2 linked regions of the Neurospora crassa OR74A genome follow. Each later gene encodes a partner of the first gene's protein in a complex. Links are inferred from orthologs where the notes say so. Each region holds a gene or a part of one and is shown on either strand. Other genes may lie near its edges.

Region 1 (9,530 bases):
ACCACCCCAAGGTATCACGAACCCAGGCACCAGCCAGCCAGCGTATGTCCCAGTGTGTCCCGACGTGTGTGTGTGTGTGTGTCCTTACCTTGAAACACACTTCATCACCGACGCCACCATACGGCCATCAGCTAGCTGGTTCCACACACGTTTAACACGAGAAACAAAGTAATTCCACTGATTCACTGGCTGTGACATGGCCGAAGCGTGTGTGCTCCGCGAGTGTACGACATCAGATTCAAGTTGAGTATGTGTGTAAGGTACGGGAAGATCCAAGATATATATCATCTTCTCGCTCGCAAGACGGAGAGAGGAAAAGATGTCTTCCCCCTGGCGATGAATGAATAAGAAGGTGAAACCCGGTACCTCTAGATGAGTTACTGGTTATAAAGTCCTACTCGACTAGCGGAAGTGACTGTTTTGTACTTGGAGACTTGAGAAACTGGTGTTACACGGCGACATTGGGAGGAAGATGGAAGCATTTGAGAAGGGTTATGGAAGCATACCTGGAAAATAGGTGGGTGGGAGCACGGAGGATATTTTGGACACTCCTACTCCTTTTGGGATCACTGGGTTCTAGAAAGTATATCTCCCGGTACCTTCGTTGACAACTCGTGAGACACATGCAGAGTTAGAATGTCAACATTATTCAACCTGTAGGATTCAGCCATTCGTCAAAAAAGCAGAAAAAAAAGACAAAAGAAAAAAGGTGTAGGCTTGCGCCTGAGAGTCTAGCCTGTTGAACGCTTCATTGGACCACTTGACAACACGCCCCATTTCGAGGTGCTGAGAGATGGGGTGAAAGAGGTAGATGATCAACCCATGCCTGATGTTTGGAGGTAGTCTGCTTGGTTACCGAGCAACAGTCAGACGTTAAAGGGAAGGAGACATGAAGGTTAGCAATTGGCTTGGAGTCTCACGTCTCAAGCTGTAAGACACTCGACGTTAATCGCCGTGAATCTGTCCACGTTGGGCAGATCATCTTTCTGCTATATCAATTCGGTTGCATGAAATCAGCTGTCGTAATTTGAAGACACGCTCAGCTTTCCGACTTTCCTGCTGTATAGGGGAGCTTGGTATTCCCACATATGTATCTATGTAGAATGGCTCCCAATTCTGGGTCGTCAGAAGCGCTGAATTATGTTTAAGTTCGTCGTGATGCCAAAAGGTTGATCAAGCGCAAGAAGATTTGCGTCCGAACATGAATATATGTACAACATGTCCAAATCTCCAGAATAACCCTTTGTCCTGAGTTCTAAGCACCGCTTCTCTGAGAGGATAACGTTCCCCACATGCAAGTCATGAATTCGACATTGCCTTTCAAGCGTTGGGGTTTGACTAAGGAAGAAGCCAGCCTTCCTGTTTGTGGTGGTACTAATCTTAATATTCAGTGGTCCGCCGCTATTCGTCGCTTCTCGTCAAGTCTACGACTTTGTAGACCGGACGACTATCAAGTTTGTACGCTTCCCTCGCTGTTTCCGCCCAGAGCCTTGTCTGAGCCTCGGGTCCCAAGCCGGCCATATGGCACGTCATCTCCACCACTCTGCGCCACTTCTTCCAGGCTTCATCACCAAGGCCTAGAGTGCACACCGGCCAGTCGCTGCCAAACATGATGCGTTCGGGCCCAAAGGCGGCTATCACCACAGCAAGCCAGGGTAGGATAGCAGAGAGAATTTCCTCGGCCGGGCGAGCCCTCAAAAACTCGGGCATCTCGCTGAAGCAGCCGCTCAGTTTCATGTAGGTACGGTCGCACTTGCTGAGAGTAAACATGGCGGTGCGCCAGGCGATGTATGAGGGATCCGTTTGTACATTGACGATGGTTAGATCTGGCTTGCAAAGGTGGTCTGAGATGAGAACCATCAGTTAGCAAGCAAATCATGCAGAATGTGTCAAGGTAAAAACTTACTCAGGATAAATACCACTTTGTCCTCCTCGTCCACACCTTCGTGTGCACGGTCGATCATTTCTACCGCCTCCTCCAGTTGGATTCTCCCTCTTTTGTGCTGGTCAACACCCAGGTCAAAGACGAACTTCTTTCTGCCAAGCAGCTTCAGGCCCTCGATAAAATCGTCACTTAGGGCTGTTCCGTTGGGCTTATCTTGCAGCAAGTAGCGGAAACCCTTCACCTTGGCCCATGTTTCAGGCCCGGCTTCCTTTTCCGCAGCTGCGAGATACTTTTCCAACTCGGCAGAGCCCAATACAACCGGCGCCCACGGCACAATTCCGAGACAATCACGGCCATCGTCAGCCGTGTGGCCCTCGCCAGGCTTCGGTTGGCCGGTTACGATGCGGCGAAGCCATGCGATCTCTTGTAGGGGGTAAGTCCAATCCTTAGCATTGTCGTTCTTGCGGTCGACCTCAATTGCGACGTAGCCCTGAAGATTGCCAGGCGCACCGGTGGCGGTCTGGTATTCCTGGATGGAGTGCTGCTTGGCGAGAGGATTGTCTTCAGCGTACCACTGGTGGGATTCTACCTCGGACTGGGGATAGAGGTGCACATGGGTGTCGATGATGGGAACGGAAACGGCGGGAGATGATGCCATTTTGATCAGGCCGTTATCGAGCTCGAGTTTGGTAAAGCGACGGATATGTTTGGCAAGAAAGTAAGGTATCCAGTGATAGAGAAAGAGAAGGAGACAAGCGAAGCAAGCAAAGTCAGAGATGACAGGAAGTAGGAAGGTCAGGACGTCGAAGCGGTGTACCGTCCTGCAGGCAGACCAACGCTGAACACACAAAAGTAGAGGTATGGATGGGATGTAACTGAGGCAACGGGGGAACTTCCAATCGAGCCTTCTCCTTCTTATATTTTGTATTCGTTTTAGCATAGGCAGGCACGCGCTACAGTACGAGGAGAGTACCTCGATGGTCAGGAGGGGGTGGGAGATGGGATCGACACAGACAGCCAGGAACCACGACGAGGTGGGGTACGTTCGGCATGCAAAGGGCAGGCCCAAGACGGGACAATTCACACCGAAAGATTCAAAGATAGGGTTCCTGATCAAGAATGGTTACCTCCCGTCTTCGGTTTCCATTTCCTTGAGGAACCCAAGGTCCTTTTCCCTTTCGTCTTCCTACAGCACCGGAAGAAAGATACCCTTGTTATGTACAGTCATCACATGATTGTGCGAATATATTAGCAAAAAGGGTTCTATCTGCAAGACCTGACAGAGAAATCATGACATGTTCCAAAAGCTTAAGAAGTGAACGAGGCCAAGAGGGAAGTTGAGCCCCTGGAACTTGCTGAAGTTGAGCTCTCGGGTGGGGTTTGATGTGGAGATATGGGGTTGGCGGGCAACTGCCATGCTTGTCAGAAGCGCTTGGCAGCAACACTCCCCGGCAAACGCAAACTACACGCGCTATACAAACTGGGGCCCTCCGCACGGACCGTGGATGCCTAGCAATTAAACTCTTGCCCCTCCTCGACGCGCTGCCAAACGCGTCGCTGCTGCAGTCCATTGTTTGTGTGAAATTTCCCCTCCAGACCACCATCATCATCAGTCCAACACACTCGATCCATCCGTATCTTGTCGGATCTTTCTTGACTTCTGCGCCCCAATCCTTGCATCTTCGAACACGACTCACGCATAAATCAACCTCAAAAACAACATCGAGAACGTCTCCACGGGCTTGACGCCAACACTACCCAACCAACATGGCGGGTCAAATCACACAGGGCGCTCTGGAGTAGGTTTCTTCACGTGTGCTTCCATCCAGTAGTATGACAGACTCTGACTTCTTGCTATAGCGCCATGTTCAATGATCCCGATCGCGCACAACAACAGTTCCCTGTCCCCATCCTTCAATGTCTCCAGATCAAGACCCTCGACTCCAAGAATGGGGGCGCGGGCGCCACGGAGAGGTTCCGCATTGTGCTGAGCGACCTCAAGAACTATGTCCAATGTATGATGGCCACGCAAACAAACCATCTTGTTCACGATGGCCTCCTGCAACGCGGCTGCATCGTGCGCTTGAAGCAGTATCAAGCTCAATGTCTCAAGGGCAAAAAGTACGCCTATCTACCCCTCCGCCAATTCGGGAAATCCATAACACTGACTGTTTAAATCCAGCATCTTGATTGTCCTCGATCTCGAAGTTATCCAGTCCCTTGGCTGTCCCGAAAAGATGGGCGATCCACAGCCTCTTGGCCCCCGCAGTGCAGAACCACAGCAGAACCCCAATCTCGGCAGCACCGGCTTCTATGGCGTCAAGAGCGAACCTACCCAAGACACGAAACCACAGTTTCCACGCCAGATGCCCTCGCGTAATGCCAGCGGGGGTCAGGGATCAAGCACGATATATCCTATTGAAGGTCTCTCGCCCTTCTCGCACAAATGGACCATCAAGGCCAGAGTCACCTCCAAGTCCGATATCAAGACCTGGCACAAGGCTAGCGGCGAGGGCAAGCTCTTCAGCGTCAACTTTCTTGACGAGAGTGGCGAAATTAGAGCAACAGGATTCAACGACCAAGTCGACCAGTTCTATGATTTGCTACAGGAGGGTCAGGTTTACTACATTTCTACACCTTGCAGGGTACAGCTTGCCAAGAAGCAATGGTCGAATCTCCCCAATGACTACGAGCTCACCTTTGAGCGGGATACCGTGATCGAAAAGGCCGAAGACCAGACATCTGTACCACAGGTACGCTTCAACTTTGTCAACATCCAGGAGCTTCAGGATGTTGAGAGGGATGCGACTGTCGATATTATTGGTGTCCTCAAGGAGGTCCAAGAGGTGACCCAGATTGTATCCAAGACCACACAGAAGCCGTACGACAAGCGCGAGCTGACCCTTGTTGACAACACTGGGTACTCGGTACGTTGTACCATCTGGGGTAAGACGGCCACGAACTTTGATGCTCAGCCTGAATCCATTGTGGCCTTCAAGGGCACAAAGGTCAGCGATTTCGGTGGACGCAGCTTGTCCCTGCTTTCGTCTGGCACCATGGCCATCGATCCGGATATTCCAGAGGCCCATCATCTCAAGGGCTGGTATGATAGCAGCGGCAGGAACAACACCTTCGCCACCCACAACAACATGCAGACCTTGGGTGGTGCGACCGGTCGCAAGGACGACGCCAAGACCATCTCACAAGTAAAGGAAGAGAACCTTGGCACAAACGAGGCGCCGGATTACTTCGCTCTCAAGGCAACGGTTGTATTCATCAAGCAGGATAACTTTGCCTACCCTGGGTGCCGAAGCGAAGGCTGTAACAGGAAGGTCACAGATATGGGTGATGGTACCTGGCGCTGCGAGAAGTGCCAGATCAACCACGATAGACCTCAGTACCGTTACATTATGAGCGTCAACGTCAACGACCACACAGGTCAACTTTGGCTTAGCTGCTTCGACGATACGGCGCGGGTCATCATGGGCAAGTCGGCCGATGAACTTATGGAGATTCGAGAGACCGACGAGACGCGGTTGCCCGCCGAGTTTGAGCAGGCCAACTGCCGCAAGCTGAACTTTAGGTGCAGGGCGAAGATGGACACATTTGGTGAACAGCAGAGGTACGTATCGGGGGTTATTCTCACGATTAGATGGACGTTGCTGACACATTGCTTGTTGCAGGATTCGATACCAGGTCATGAGCGTGGCGCCCCTTGACTACAAGATGGAAGGAAACAAGCTTAACGAGCTCATCAATTCTTACAACCAAATGAGCATGTAAAGGGGAGGGTGGGGTTTGTTCACTTATGCGAGGAACTAGATGATGTATATGGTTAATGAACACGTGTTTGTATTTTCGGGCATGTGGTCTCAAGGATGAACGATATGGGCATCACTGGCCTATCGACTGAAAGATGATTTGCAGTTTCATGATGGACTGGGATGGTTAAGAGCTGTGATGGGCCGAACCCTAACAGAACTTTGTTGGCGTGGCAGCAAATTTCGGCATGATTGCAGACTTGAATAGGTCTCTCAAGCGTTATCTTGGAGTTGAGACACTAGGAGACCTTCCTGTTCGAGTTATCTTCGATAACATGCCGAGGTAAGTACACACGCTTCGTTGACTAGAAGAAAGCTCCAGAGCTGGTCAAGGTCGGATCAGGGCGGTCCTTGCAATGTAATACGCACCTTTCGGGCTCAATATCCACATGGCAATCCGATCATCTCATCCGTTATCGGCCTTCTTCACCCTCTCGTATTCTCAAACTCTTCTATGCTTCAGCTTTTTCACGCAAAGAACCCGTGGCACAGCCTTTCCTGGTCATCTTTCTTCACTTTCCAACTTCCGTTATGTGAATAGGCACCCCGGCTCCGGTCTCTATGCGGACTGTTTAGCTGCTCGATACCGTATCGGCACTTATCGATTACGCAGATGGATGACAGGAACCTAAACGCCGTATCTTCCTTATCGGCCGTCGTCGGGATCCCCTGCCGTGACTCCACATATCCGCCGTCCAGACCCGCCCCCGCTCCGTTCCCTCGGGCCCCCCACTTTCGATGTAGCGGGAAGCTGACACCGAGTTCTAGAACAAAAGACTATTGAAATCACGTTTGAACCGTATTCGTGTCAGCACTAAGACCAAGTTAAACCTTTATCTTTGCTCATACTTCTCTATCCCATTCAGTGTCTTCTTGTTGTCTACTTACACTCATCACCTTCCACCAACATCAACAACAAAGTGACAAGCTTCAACCTCTCAAACCTCCAACGAAATGGCCGACCCCAGCACCACCCCTCCCCTTACCCGTGCCTCCGTCCTCGCCGCTCACTCCCTCATAAAGCCCTACATTCACGAGACGCCCGTGCTTACGAATACCACTTTCGACCAACTCGCTTCCACCCCTCGTACTCCCGAAGAGCTGCAAGGAACGGAATGGGAGGCTACCGAAAGACCGGCGAACCCAAAGATTCGGTTCTGGTTCAAGTGCGAGAATTTCCAGCGGATTGGCGCGTTCAAGGCTAGAGGAGCGTTTCATGCTGTGGAGAGGTTGAAGCAAACTGAGGGGTTAGAGGGGTTGAAGAAGGGCGGAGTAGTGACGCATAGTTCTGGTTTGTGAATTTCCGCTTTTTTTTTTTTTTTTTTTTTTTTTTTTTTTTTTTTTTTTTTTTTTTTTTTTTTTTTTTTTTTCTTTTAATCTGGATATGATGAGGTGATATCAGTATTGAGAGAAATGAGATTGTGAAGATGTGAAGTTTTTTTGAAGGCTTTGAAATAGGTTGAGTTGTCTGAATTGTCTTCTGAGATGTGATGAGAGTTGTCGATGTGTTCAAGACGTAGTAGCTACGTGAAGACCCAAACTGACGTGACAACGAACTAAAAGGTAACCACGCCCAAGCCCTTTCCCTCGCTGCCCGCGAGAACGGCATCCCGGCGCACATCGTTATGCCTACCATCTCGCCTCCGCCCAAGATCGCTGCCACCAAGGGTTACGGCGCCAACATAACCTTTAGCGGAAGCACGAGTACCGAGCGTGAAGCAGTTACAAGGGAGGTGATTGAGAAGACGGGTGCGAGGCTGGTGCCGCCTTATGATCGTATGTCCCTTCTCCTTTTTTCTTCTCACGTGTCCTTTCTTTAGGAGTCTCTTCAGAGTGTCTTCAAACCCTCTCGAGGTCCTCTCGCCCACTTTCATCCTCCCGTCTCTTCACCCCAACACTGAACTGACCAACTAACATCCCCACCCCAACCCACACCAGACCCAGACATCATCCTCGGCCAAGGCACCGCCGCCCTAGAGCTCCAACGCCAAGTCGCCGCCTCTCTCTCCACCTCCGGCACCACCACCACCACCAACCGTCGTCGTCTTAACGCGATAATAACCCCCTGCGGCGGCGGTGGTCTCCTCTCCGGCACCGCTCTCGCCTGTTCCGACCTCTCCCCTTCCGATCCCTCCACACCCGGTCCAATCCTGGTCTTCGGCGCCGAACCCTCCTTCTCGGGCGCGGACGACGGTCGTCGGGGTTACTACTCGGGCACTCGCATCGAGAGCGTCAAATCCTTGACGATTGCCGATGGGCTGCGGACTCCTCTGGGGGCGTATCCGTGGAGTATCATCTATGAGCGGAAGCTGGTGGCGGGCATGTACAGTGTGGGCGAGGAAGAGATCAAGAAGGCGCTGAGGCTGGTTTATGAGAGGATGAAGGTTGTTGTTGAGCCGAGCGCGGTAGTGGGGTTGGCGGTAGCGTTATTTAATGAGGAGTTTAGGAGTATGGTGGAGAGGGAAGGGGGGGAGGAAGGGTGGGATTTGGGGGTGGTGTTTAGCGGAGGGAATGTTGAGCTGGCGGCGTTGGGGAGGTTGTTTGGTGAGGAATAGACCGGTCAAGGAGAGGAGCTTATATAAAGAGGAACTAGGAGTTGAAGTCAATGTCAGCTCGTCTGCTGTCCAAGAATCAGACCACTAATGCATAAACCAAGCCATTGAACAGAGAAAGAAAAAGAAAAGTTCATTGACCGACATGCCACCGGGCAGAGGCCCCCCATAAAGATAATTATATACAATCCGAACAAACCGAACCCAGAACAAACCAAATCGAAGAGACGTCGGAGAAAAGGCTTTTTAATATCCCCCATATTTCCCAGAGGTATCCCGTCCCGTTCCAGCGGCCGGCCAGTCATATGATGCGGCCTGTGCAGCGTGTTGTGTGCATCTGTTATTTTTCAAACCTGCCCAACTACCGGAGTATCATTTGTGTATCCCTCGTGCAAGCAGAAATCACGACCCAACCAAAAAGCATCAAAAGCCAATTGTTTACTTCTGGTTCTCGGGACGGAGGGAGCTAGGAAGAGAAACAAATGTTAGTCAGGGGTCTTTGTGGCAAAAGGGCAGACGAGGTCACATACCGAACGGCCTTGCCGGCGCGCCAGATCTCGAGGTTGCGGATCTCGTCGAGCTCAGCCTCGTAACGCTCACGGTAATCGGGCTGAGAGTTGTACTCGAGAGAGCGCTTGGTCTCGTCACCGTTCTTGACGGAGTCGTAGAGGTTGTTGAAGACGGGCTTAAGGGCGTCCTTGAACTTGGGAGTCCAGTCGATAGCACCACGGCGGGCGGTGGTGGAGCAGGCGTCGAACATCCAGTCCATGCCGTGGGCACCAATGAGGGGGTAGAGGGACTGGGTAGCCTCCTCAACGGTCTCGTTGAAAGCCTCGCTGGGGGAGTGGCCGCGCTCGCGGAGGACCTCGTACTGGGCGAGGAACATGCCGTGGATACCACCCATCAGGCAGCCACGCTCACCGTAGAGGTCAGAGTAGACCTCCTTCTCGAAGGTGGTCTCATAAAGGTAGCCGGAGCCGACGGCGACACCGAGAGCGACGGCCTTCTCCTTAGCCTTGCCGGTGACGTCCTGGTAGACAGCGAAAGAGGAGTTGATGCCACGGCCCTCACGGAAGAGGGAGCGGACGGTACGGCCGGAGCCCTTGGGGGCGACGAGGATGACGTCAACGTCGGTGGGGACCTCGACCTTGGTGAGATCCTTGAAGACGGGGGAGAAACCGTGGGAGAAGTAGAGGGTCTGTTGAAGATGTTTGTTAGCTCGCGCCACCACAAGACCCAATGGCATCTTCGTTATGAGCTAGCTTGGTTACT
Region 2 (8,342 bases), about 2.8 Mb from region 1:
CAGGCCCATCGACAGGGTATCAACTTCCCCTTCCAAGAAGTCAATCCCGGACCAAAGGAGCTTTTGCCCACGAAGAGCATCTTCAACCCTGCTGGAAAGACGAAGGCGCTGAACAGAGTCGCACACGCCACATCAGTCCCACCCATACCGAAAAAGAACGCGGATCGCCCATTCAAGAGGTCGAATACAGCCCCAAACCCTTCACTGTCCGATCACGATCCCTTATCGCGACAACCTAATGATCAGCAAGATGGCGAAGCTCCTCAGGAAGGGACTGCTTCCCAAACCTCACAGGCAGATATGCAAAGCTCTCAAACTCAACATCGGCCGCCGTTCAACCCTCAGCAACAACTCGAGACCCAGAACACGGGAAACACATCAGCTCAGCCACAAGCTCCTGTCCCTGCTACCACTGTGATGCCCATTCCTGAACGACCCGAACCTGTTCAGAGCAAAGCAGCCCAACCAGCGTCAAAGCCCGTCTCGAACAGCTCTGTCCCGGCCAGCGACCCCGTTGTGGGATCTACTGGAACGTCATCCCGAGCAGTACAGTCTGAAGCCTCTGCTCGGGCTCGTGCACCTGCCCCCCAGGAACCTAGCGAGCCCGAAGAACCGCCTCGCTATAACAAAAATATGGTGAAGAAGCAGTCAATTAAGGAGAAACTGGAGGAGGCTATTCAAAGAGGAGAGTCGCCGCCATTTTGCAACAATTGTGGCGCCATAGAAACTCCTACCTGGCGGAAGATTTGGACGCAAGATCATCGAGGAGTTCCTGGTCTTTACGAGTTTTCCGATAAACCTGGATTTGTGACTACGATCGATATCCTCGAGAAGGATGCTGATGGACAGACCATTATGTACCAATTGGTGAAGAAAAATCTCGGGCCCACGGACGACAAGAAAATTTGGAAGGAAACTCTCCTCTGTAACCCATGCGGTATCTGGCTCGCCAAATTCAAAGTTCATAGGCCACAGGACAGGTGGGACAAGGATGCCGCCCGACTTAATCAGCCCCGAAAGAAGAAAAACTCGCGCAACAAAAAGCGAAAGAATGACACCCAGACAAACCCAACATCGGAGGCATATTTCACGACTGATCCAATTGGACCGGCCGATCAGGAATCACCGGAAGAGGCGCAACATCAAAATATGACTCAACCGACGCACCAGAACGTGGCCGCAATGGAGGACAGCAACAACAACAATAACAATCAATCATTGCATCAGATGATTTTAAACTCGCGTAGCTCCCCAAAGCGACGTGGGCTCGGGTCAACTCACTCTAGGGGCAGTGGAACGGCGGACAGCCCCATCGCAGTAGAGGATGATCTTGGCACTACTAGAAGGCTTCTCTTCCCCTCACCTAGGAAGGAGGGAGCGCCAAAAGTCCTTGGGGAGCTCATAAGTAACGCCGTCAATGCCACCACTGCGTCGCAAGACCCGAAGTCTGCTGCCATGGGCAAGGAAAACATCGGTCACCAGCCGGCAAGGCGCCCCAATACCCCTGTCCTTGCGGACCAGGACGAGCTTGACCAAGAACTTTTCGGCAGTCCAGTCGTCAGGCCGTCAACACCGCCCCCGAAGAACCCCTCTTCGGGTATCTTCAAGACGCCTACCCGGCCGACTCCGAATCACCGGCCCATTACTAGGAGTATATCTCGGTCCATCCGTACCGTTCGGTCGGCGCAGAAGTCACCCAGTCAGCTCTTTACGCAAACCCAACGAACCCCCACCAAGACTCCGCGCGGTACGCGTACTGTCTCCGGTAGCAACGGAGGCATTCTCGTTAGCGCGTCCAAGCGGCGAAGCCCCCGCCACGCACGCTTTGCGCTTGACGACAGCCTGCACGTGCCTACCTCGTCCCCAACCCACGACTTTGAGGCTTGGGGCTCGCTGAACCAACTGTTGAGTGAAGCTGACCAGTTCACCGCCAACTCGTCATCGCACGGGCTTCTGGACGTTAATATGCAGCACTATGACAGCGACAGCGTGCAACAACTCGTGGAGGGCGCGGGTGCTTTGGACTTTGGCAGTTTCATGGGTACCGATATGGTCATGGCTAGCTCCCCGCCTATGATGAGGGGTCATCACCATGAAGATGGTGGCAATGGCAATTTGAGCTTCGAGGCGTCGTTGAGCATCGAAAGCTTGTGGGTGGAGACTACGGCTACTAGCGGAGGAGGAGGGTGTGAGGCGGAGAGGAATGCCGCTGCTGATGTGGATGAGTTGAGTTAGGGCCTCAATGATCAGTCGCAGTCGGAGCAGGGGCCGAAGCCCCCCTGGGAGAACAGTTGAGCTTGGATCTCGATAATCTACGAGATCCATCCGCAGATCTCGCAACTCGTGTGATTGAGATACGAATGATGTTGCAGTGAATGGGCACGGTTATGGTCTGATTCCAGATTGGGAGAGAAGGAAATCCATATTTCGCAGCGTGGGCGCAAAAAAACACAAAACAAAAGGTCACTACGATTTACACCTCAACGAAAAGTGGGATGATTATTCTTGCACGCTACGCGCGACTCGCCGCATTTGTGAAGAGGGGAAAGTGAAATGGGTGTTTCGGGCGCAATACTGATTGGGATGGGCTGGGATATGGGATACCAAAGCGTTTTTCTCTCTTTTATTTTCACCTTTTTGTTTTGCCTCGTCTTGCTTTTTTTGCTGTCTGCCATCTGTTCCTATGCAGTCTGTAGTCCGAGTCTCGTACCCAGAGCACAACTGAATTACATCACAATTGTATAGCAGTTGAGACTGCCGCATATCGGACTCCTTCTCCACATTTGCTCTCTATTTCCGCTGAGCTGCTCCTGCAAGAAAAATAGATATTGCCGCCGCCATGTCGAAGCAGGCATGACAATAGTAAGTTGGTTGGCATGTTCGTTTCCCCGCAGTGCCGCCGCGTCTTGCGTGTGCGTGGCGCCTGCGGTCGCAACGCTTGGACTATTTCGACATTTGGTGACGAATATCGAAGTATAACTCGGATGAAGGGTTCTAAGAAATCTGGGTTCCATTTGTTATAGTTGGGTATTATTTTGCCTCTTCCTTTTCCCCCTTCTCTCCCCATCTCTGGGGGTGTGTAGTGGTTTCCTCGCGCCCTCTCACCTTAGTTCTCGTACACAAAGAGGGGCTTGTAACGATGAGTGACTTCCACGACAGCGTTTGCTAGGTTGTAGTCTGTTTCATGCGTAAGCACACGTAATATCTACAATGGTGTAGATAGAAGTATAGCGATCAAGGGAGGAGGATGGATGATGAGGGATGGTCACAAGAGAGGAGGAGGCGGGGGGCGATGGGGAAAGAGAAGAAGAAACTCACCAACACCCTGCCCCAAATCAACGGAGCTAAGCACTTTGATGGAAAGATCCGGGTTGACCTTGCCGATGAGTTGGACGCCGTTGTTTGCTGAGAGGTGTGCTTCCTGTAAGTTTTCGACATGTTTTGGTTAGTCATCACGGGACACTATCCAATCCATCATGACTCTTAACAGCCTTCGTTTCGTCTCTTATTCTTGAAGTTTGGTGGCACCAGTGGAAAAAAAAAAAGAAGGGCGAGAATCCGAACGTACGCGGTTCAAAAATGCATGAATGGTCCCATCAGCGTCAATAGTCGCCTCCTCGCCGCGTAGCTGGACAACTTTGCCTACGACCGTCACGAGCTTGCCGACATACTGGCTGAGATAGGCGCAGGTGATGCGGGGGGTGGAAGATTTGTTGTCCATTTTTTTTCCTCTTTCCCGTGTGTCCGTGAGCTGAAGAGTCCGCGTAGGTATGGAGAGTGTGGTGATTGAGTGGTGGGGTCGTGTTATTGGTGTTGTCGGAGAGTTGGAGTTTGCGGAGCAAAGAGGTCAATGTCGTGAGTGAGGCTGTTGTGAGGTTTCTGATACACTTTTTGTTGTTTGTTTGGGTTGGTTGATGATGGTCTTGGTTTTGTTTGCTGTGAATGTACTAACAGCTCAGTGCGGTTGCTTGGTGTGATGTTGTTAGGGGAAGGAGTTTCGTTACGTGCGGGGCACTGGGCCATGTACAGTGGAATCTCTGGAAACTGCATGTTATTCAGACAATGGGGACCCGCCGCGAGTGAGCTATTCACTGATCACAGTATATGCAGATTAGGGGGCTGAGTTTTGGTTGGGGACCTGGTTTCGTAGCCAAGCCTTGGTTTGCGGTAAGAGGGAGTGCTTTGGTGCTCATGCAGTATAAGGGTAATGCATTCGTAGGGGCTTCTATTGTAAAGGGTTTCAAGTTCAACACAAGTAACGAACGTCGTTGCTTCCGGGGTTTGAATGCCGTGCCGGCTATCATTGATTCACGGTCCTTCTTCAACACGAAGGAGGACATCCTTTCTGTGGATCAAAGATTCAACGTCACAGTCGAAAGCGCGTCCGATATCGAAGCGACAACAGCAATTCCAGTGAGGCACGATATTTGTACACTTCGCATGTATTTACTTGCTGCCTGCACTGTGCCTGCTTCCTTGGAATTCAGACCATGTGCGGTACAGTCGGCACCTTTGCTGTGAGCGACAGGGGGTCGAGAGCCCCACGGCATTCAAATCTGTGGGAATGGCGGGGATAAGGAAGCCTAGGAGCCCCACCATTTAGCGTCCTATCAGCGGGGTGGAGATGCGGGTCCCGATCTACGCGAGCTGGAACTCAACTTCAACTTCGCCAGAACAACGTCCTGTTGCGCCGCATTCAGCGACATCCCTTGGTTTCGTCTCGGCGGTTCGATCTTTGGATGAAAACTTGCCGTCTGTCTTGGGCACCATCGGGCTTTTTTTTCTTGTTCTCTTTCTTTTTTTGGTTTTTCATTTTTCTTTTTTCTTCTTCTGCTCTTCAAGAAATCTAGAGCTGGGGGGCATGGAAAGATATGACTGGCGAATTGGACTGGAGGGAACTCGCTCACTCGGAATCCGGCTCCGCCACGGTTTAAATCACCGGTGATTCTGTGGCTGCAAGTTCAAAGTCAAAAATCCCCTTGTCAGGTACCGAGCACGAACCACCATAGGCAAAGCTCATGACTTTGTCCAGGACACTGTGTGATCAGCGATCATCAGCGACCCGGCCCACGGGTTTTTACAGTGCCTGCTTACCCATCTCACCATAGTGCGTGACAGCATCATCCAGGGGACTGGCCAGGTCTTCTTGAGAACTCCGATGAAAGCGACAAGGAATCCAGTCAAGAGTCCAGATTCTCGACGCCGCTTATCTTCCAGCGCTCTCACGGGGAAAGTTTGAGCTTTAGATGGCATGCATTCAATTTGATGCTGGAGCTTGAACACAAATCATTTACCAAGTCGTCAATCAAGCATCTATCTGAGTCCTCAATTAAACATCTTTCAATGCCCGGTCACTTTGCTGGTACGAAGTTGCCTCGGGAAAAGGATGCCCAGATTATATCGTCCCCACATGCTGGTGAATAAGTGCTAGAGGTGGCAAAAGACATGGAGTCTGCACAAAGAGCTGTAAGGCAGCGGTATCATTCCACTTTGTAGCATGATCTCCATTCAAGCTGCTCGGTACATCCTGACAGATATGCACGCTCGGCCAGGGACAGGGTTTCGTGGATACCTTTTGGTGTCGCGAAAACGATGGCTCGAGATTGCGCCATGCCAGAATCGACTCCATTCACACCTTCGTCAAAAAGCCCCCAACTGGTCGCGGGAAGTTACTAGGAACCCCCAAGTCAATCGTTCCATTTCGTACCTTGAGGAATCATGTCAAGTCAGTTACCCGGCCTGTATGCAGCAACGCTAATGCACGTATGCCACTTAGGGTATATACTAAATATTGTTTTCGCGGCGTATCCGATGCTTCCGAAGCCGCAGTAGGGTATGTCGGAAGCCCGCCGGGAGGAGATGCTTGTACAGTGTTCAATGCCGCAGGTAGATCAGATCTACAGCAAGCCTTTCGGTATGGTGAGAGTGGAAGGGAAAGGGAAGGGAAGGAAAGGGAAGGTAACACAGAGCAAACTTACACAGTGGAGGTGTACGTTGTGCTCTCGTCCACTCAGCTTCCCCATGTCCTCTCCTCCATGATCACTTACAACCCCGCCTTGTACGACCAGGGCAGAGCACTTTCGAAAACCACCATTTCGGTTTGCTGAGGCTTAAGCCACCAGAATACAGAATACCTAAGTCTGCCCACCTAATCCATCAGATGGAGATTCTTGATTTCCCATCGCTGACCGGTTCTCTGTGCCATTAATCATGGTAACGTCTCAGCCATTGTCTTCCCATGGCGGGAACTTTGAACCTGGCCTCGGCCTGGCAGACTGGACTGGCCTTGGACAGTACCGCAAGCCAATTAGAAGCCTACCGCACCTTAGAATGTGTGGGTGTCTGGAGCTAACGCGTTCTTGTGCAGCGTAAACAGCTTAGACGCTTCCATACAAGTCACAAGCTGCCCGGATCATGGAAGGCAATGTTACATTGATCAGGGCCGGGATGCTACCCTCCTGAACTGAGACATCTGGCGGCTCCTCTTCTCCGCTCTCGTCTTCCAAGAGGCATTCCAAAAGGCGATGGGTCTCATTGCCGGCCTACCAGTCCAACGAGTCACCTCCTCATCCAGGCCAAAGCGCATCGCCCCTCATACACGACCGCTCTCTAGCTGAGGGGTCGGAGATCGGATGAAGCGAGTGAAGCTCTGGCCGAGCTCCCTCGTACGTTTCCGACCAACGCACCTCCAGGCACGGTATCTTCCGAGCAGGGAGCTATCCTGCATATCGAGCTCTCTCCTCACCTCGGCTAGGATCGTTTGACTGTTGTGGTTGGGAGGCCAACAAAGCAGAGAGGGTCGAGGAGAGCTCAGAGCTTGGGCTTTGCCCGCCCCAAAGCTTCACAAGTCACAGGTAGCATCCGTCTGTCGTTCCAGTCCATCCACCAGCACAACCTCCTCGGTCTACCATCCTTGAAATCCTAGAGGCGAGCTCTTTTTTGTGTCTTTCCTTTCCTGCTTGCCCGGCCTGCTCAGTCCGCCACGCTAAAATGGGGGTAGCACGGAAAAGCATTTGGTACGGCCATTGTTGCTTGATGTTGTGCCAGAACAGAGGTACCCTCCCTCCGCCTGCTTGCCTCCACCAACGTAGCTTGGCATCCGAGCTTTCGTCCTTCATCATACTCGCCTGTTCACCAGCAAGTTTGAATGTCAATTTCAAATCCATCTTTCCTTTCCGGGCTGTGGTTTGACTGTTAGTCATTGCTTCCAACCAGCTTGGAAAGAAAACCATGTCTTTTCGCTTCACTTGACCTTCGAGCGCCCCGAACTTCTGCCAGACAGCACACCCTTTGTCTCGATAACTGGCATTCCATTTCTTTTCGAACCCTCCTTCCAAGCTTTTGATATATTTCGGGTGCCCAGACAACCGGGCTCCCAGAAATGTACGATACAGAAAGGCGTATTGTTTTCTTCTACCTGCGAGAGTGAGCCAGCCCGGTCACACAACGCTCCGGTTTCGTCCCCAACCAACAAGACGACTTCATTTCAGTTCCCATATCAAAGTAACAAGCTCGGCAGGTGTTGGTCACGGGCCGTGTTTGGAGACTGAAAACTGCCTTCAGGTAAGGCAGTCACGCCCCATACCCAGATCATTCCTGTCTGCAACCGATTGGATTGTACGTCCATCAACAGACATTCGGGCTGCCAAGCCACACATAGCGGCGGTAGCAGCCATCAAGGTACACAGGGCTGTTGGCATCGACTTGAGGTGCCTGCCCTTTGTGCAACAAGTGAAAGCTCTTCCACCAAGACGCATAGATTCACCTTCCATTCCTGGTATGTCGTCAACTTGGGCACCACTTTCCTTTTGCAAAAACGATCAAGATCATGTCCCTTTTGAGCCTCAGTTGCATCGCACACTCTTGATTCTCTGCGTGCCTGCTTCAGCATGCTTTATTTTTTATTTCCTTTATTTTTATAGTTTTTTTTTCTTCTTCGTCTTGTCCAGTTTTGCCCTTGTCCCTTGACTTGTTGCTGAATCTGTGTTCAAGTGGAAGTGGTTCGGCTGGATTGCAGATGCATGCTCAAGGCTTGGGCAATCGCCCGGCCGGCCGGTCTTTCCATCTCCAGGAGGGCCGGAGCTCAGGCCCGGAGTAAAACATCCGTTGTCTCCCGGCCTTGACGCCGCCCAGCTAGTGCTTCCGAGTTCCTTCTCCTGTACCTGCATCCCCTCCTCATTATCCTGCTGAGTTTCTCCCGATACGCTCGTTGCTGTTCTCGATAGTTAACTCGTTTACCAGCGCTAGTCCCCCACCAGAATCACCAGGACGCCATGGACACTCCGTCACACTTCTTTAGCGATTCCTTGGCATACGAGGATTCCAACCCATATCAAGAGGAT

The links.
Region 2: rpa-1 (region 1) and rpa-3 share a complex: the UniProt entries of both Schizosaccharomyces pombe proteins name them as parts of the heterotrimeric canonical replication protein A complex. The link is inferred for Neurospora crassa OR74A from reciprocal best matches to the Schizosaccharomyces pombe genes ssb1 and ssb3.

The regions. Positions count from the first base shown.
Region 1 is NC_026505.1:1,820,114-1,829,643, forward strand, and holds rpa-1 (replication factor-A protein 1), read left to right. Parts: upstream 1-3,415; 5' UTR 3,416-3,652; coding exon 3,653-3,684; intron 3,685-3,745; coding exon 3,746-4,006; intron 4,007-4,067; coding exon 4,068-5,507; intron 5,508-5,568; coding exon 5,569-5,668; 3' UTR 5,669-6,095; downstream 6,096-9,530. Other genes in the region: NCU03605 (amidohydrolase), read right to left, coding at 1,402-1,844, 1,907-2,825; NCU03607 (threonine dehydratase catabolic), read left to right, coding at 6,661-6,997, 7,270-7,482, 7,645-8,261; ilv-2 (ketol-acid reductoisomerase), read right to left, coding at 8,697-8,724, 8,789-9,456. UniProt on the Schizosaccharomyces pombe protein: As part of the replication protein A (RPA/RP-A), a single-stranded DNA-binding heterotrimeric complex, may play an essential role in DNA replication, recombination and repair.
Region 2 is NC_026505.1:4,666,418-4,674,759, forward strand, and holds rpa-3 (replication protein A-3), read right to left. Parts: upstream 3,876-8,342; 5' UTR 3,722-3,875; coding exon 3,569-3,721; intron 3,422-3,568; coding exon 3,319-3,421; intron 3,178-3,318; coding exon 3,107-3,177; 3' UTR 2,735-3,106; downstream 1-2,734. Other genes in the region: NCU01461 (hypothetical protein), read left to right, coding at 1-2,235; ts (tan spore protein), read left to right, coding at 8,274-8,342. UniProt on the Schizosaccharomyces pombe protein: As part of the replication protein A (RPA/RP-A), a single-stranded DNA-binding heterotrimeric complex, may play an essential role in DNA replication, recombination and repair.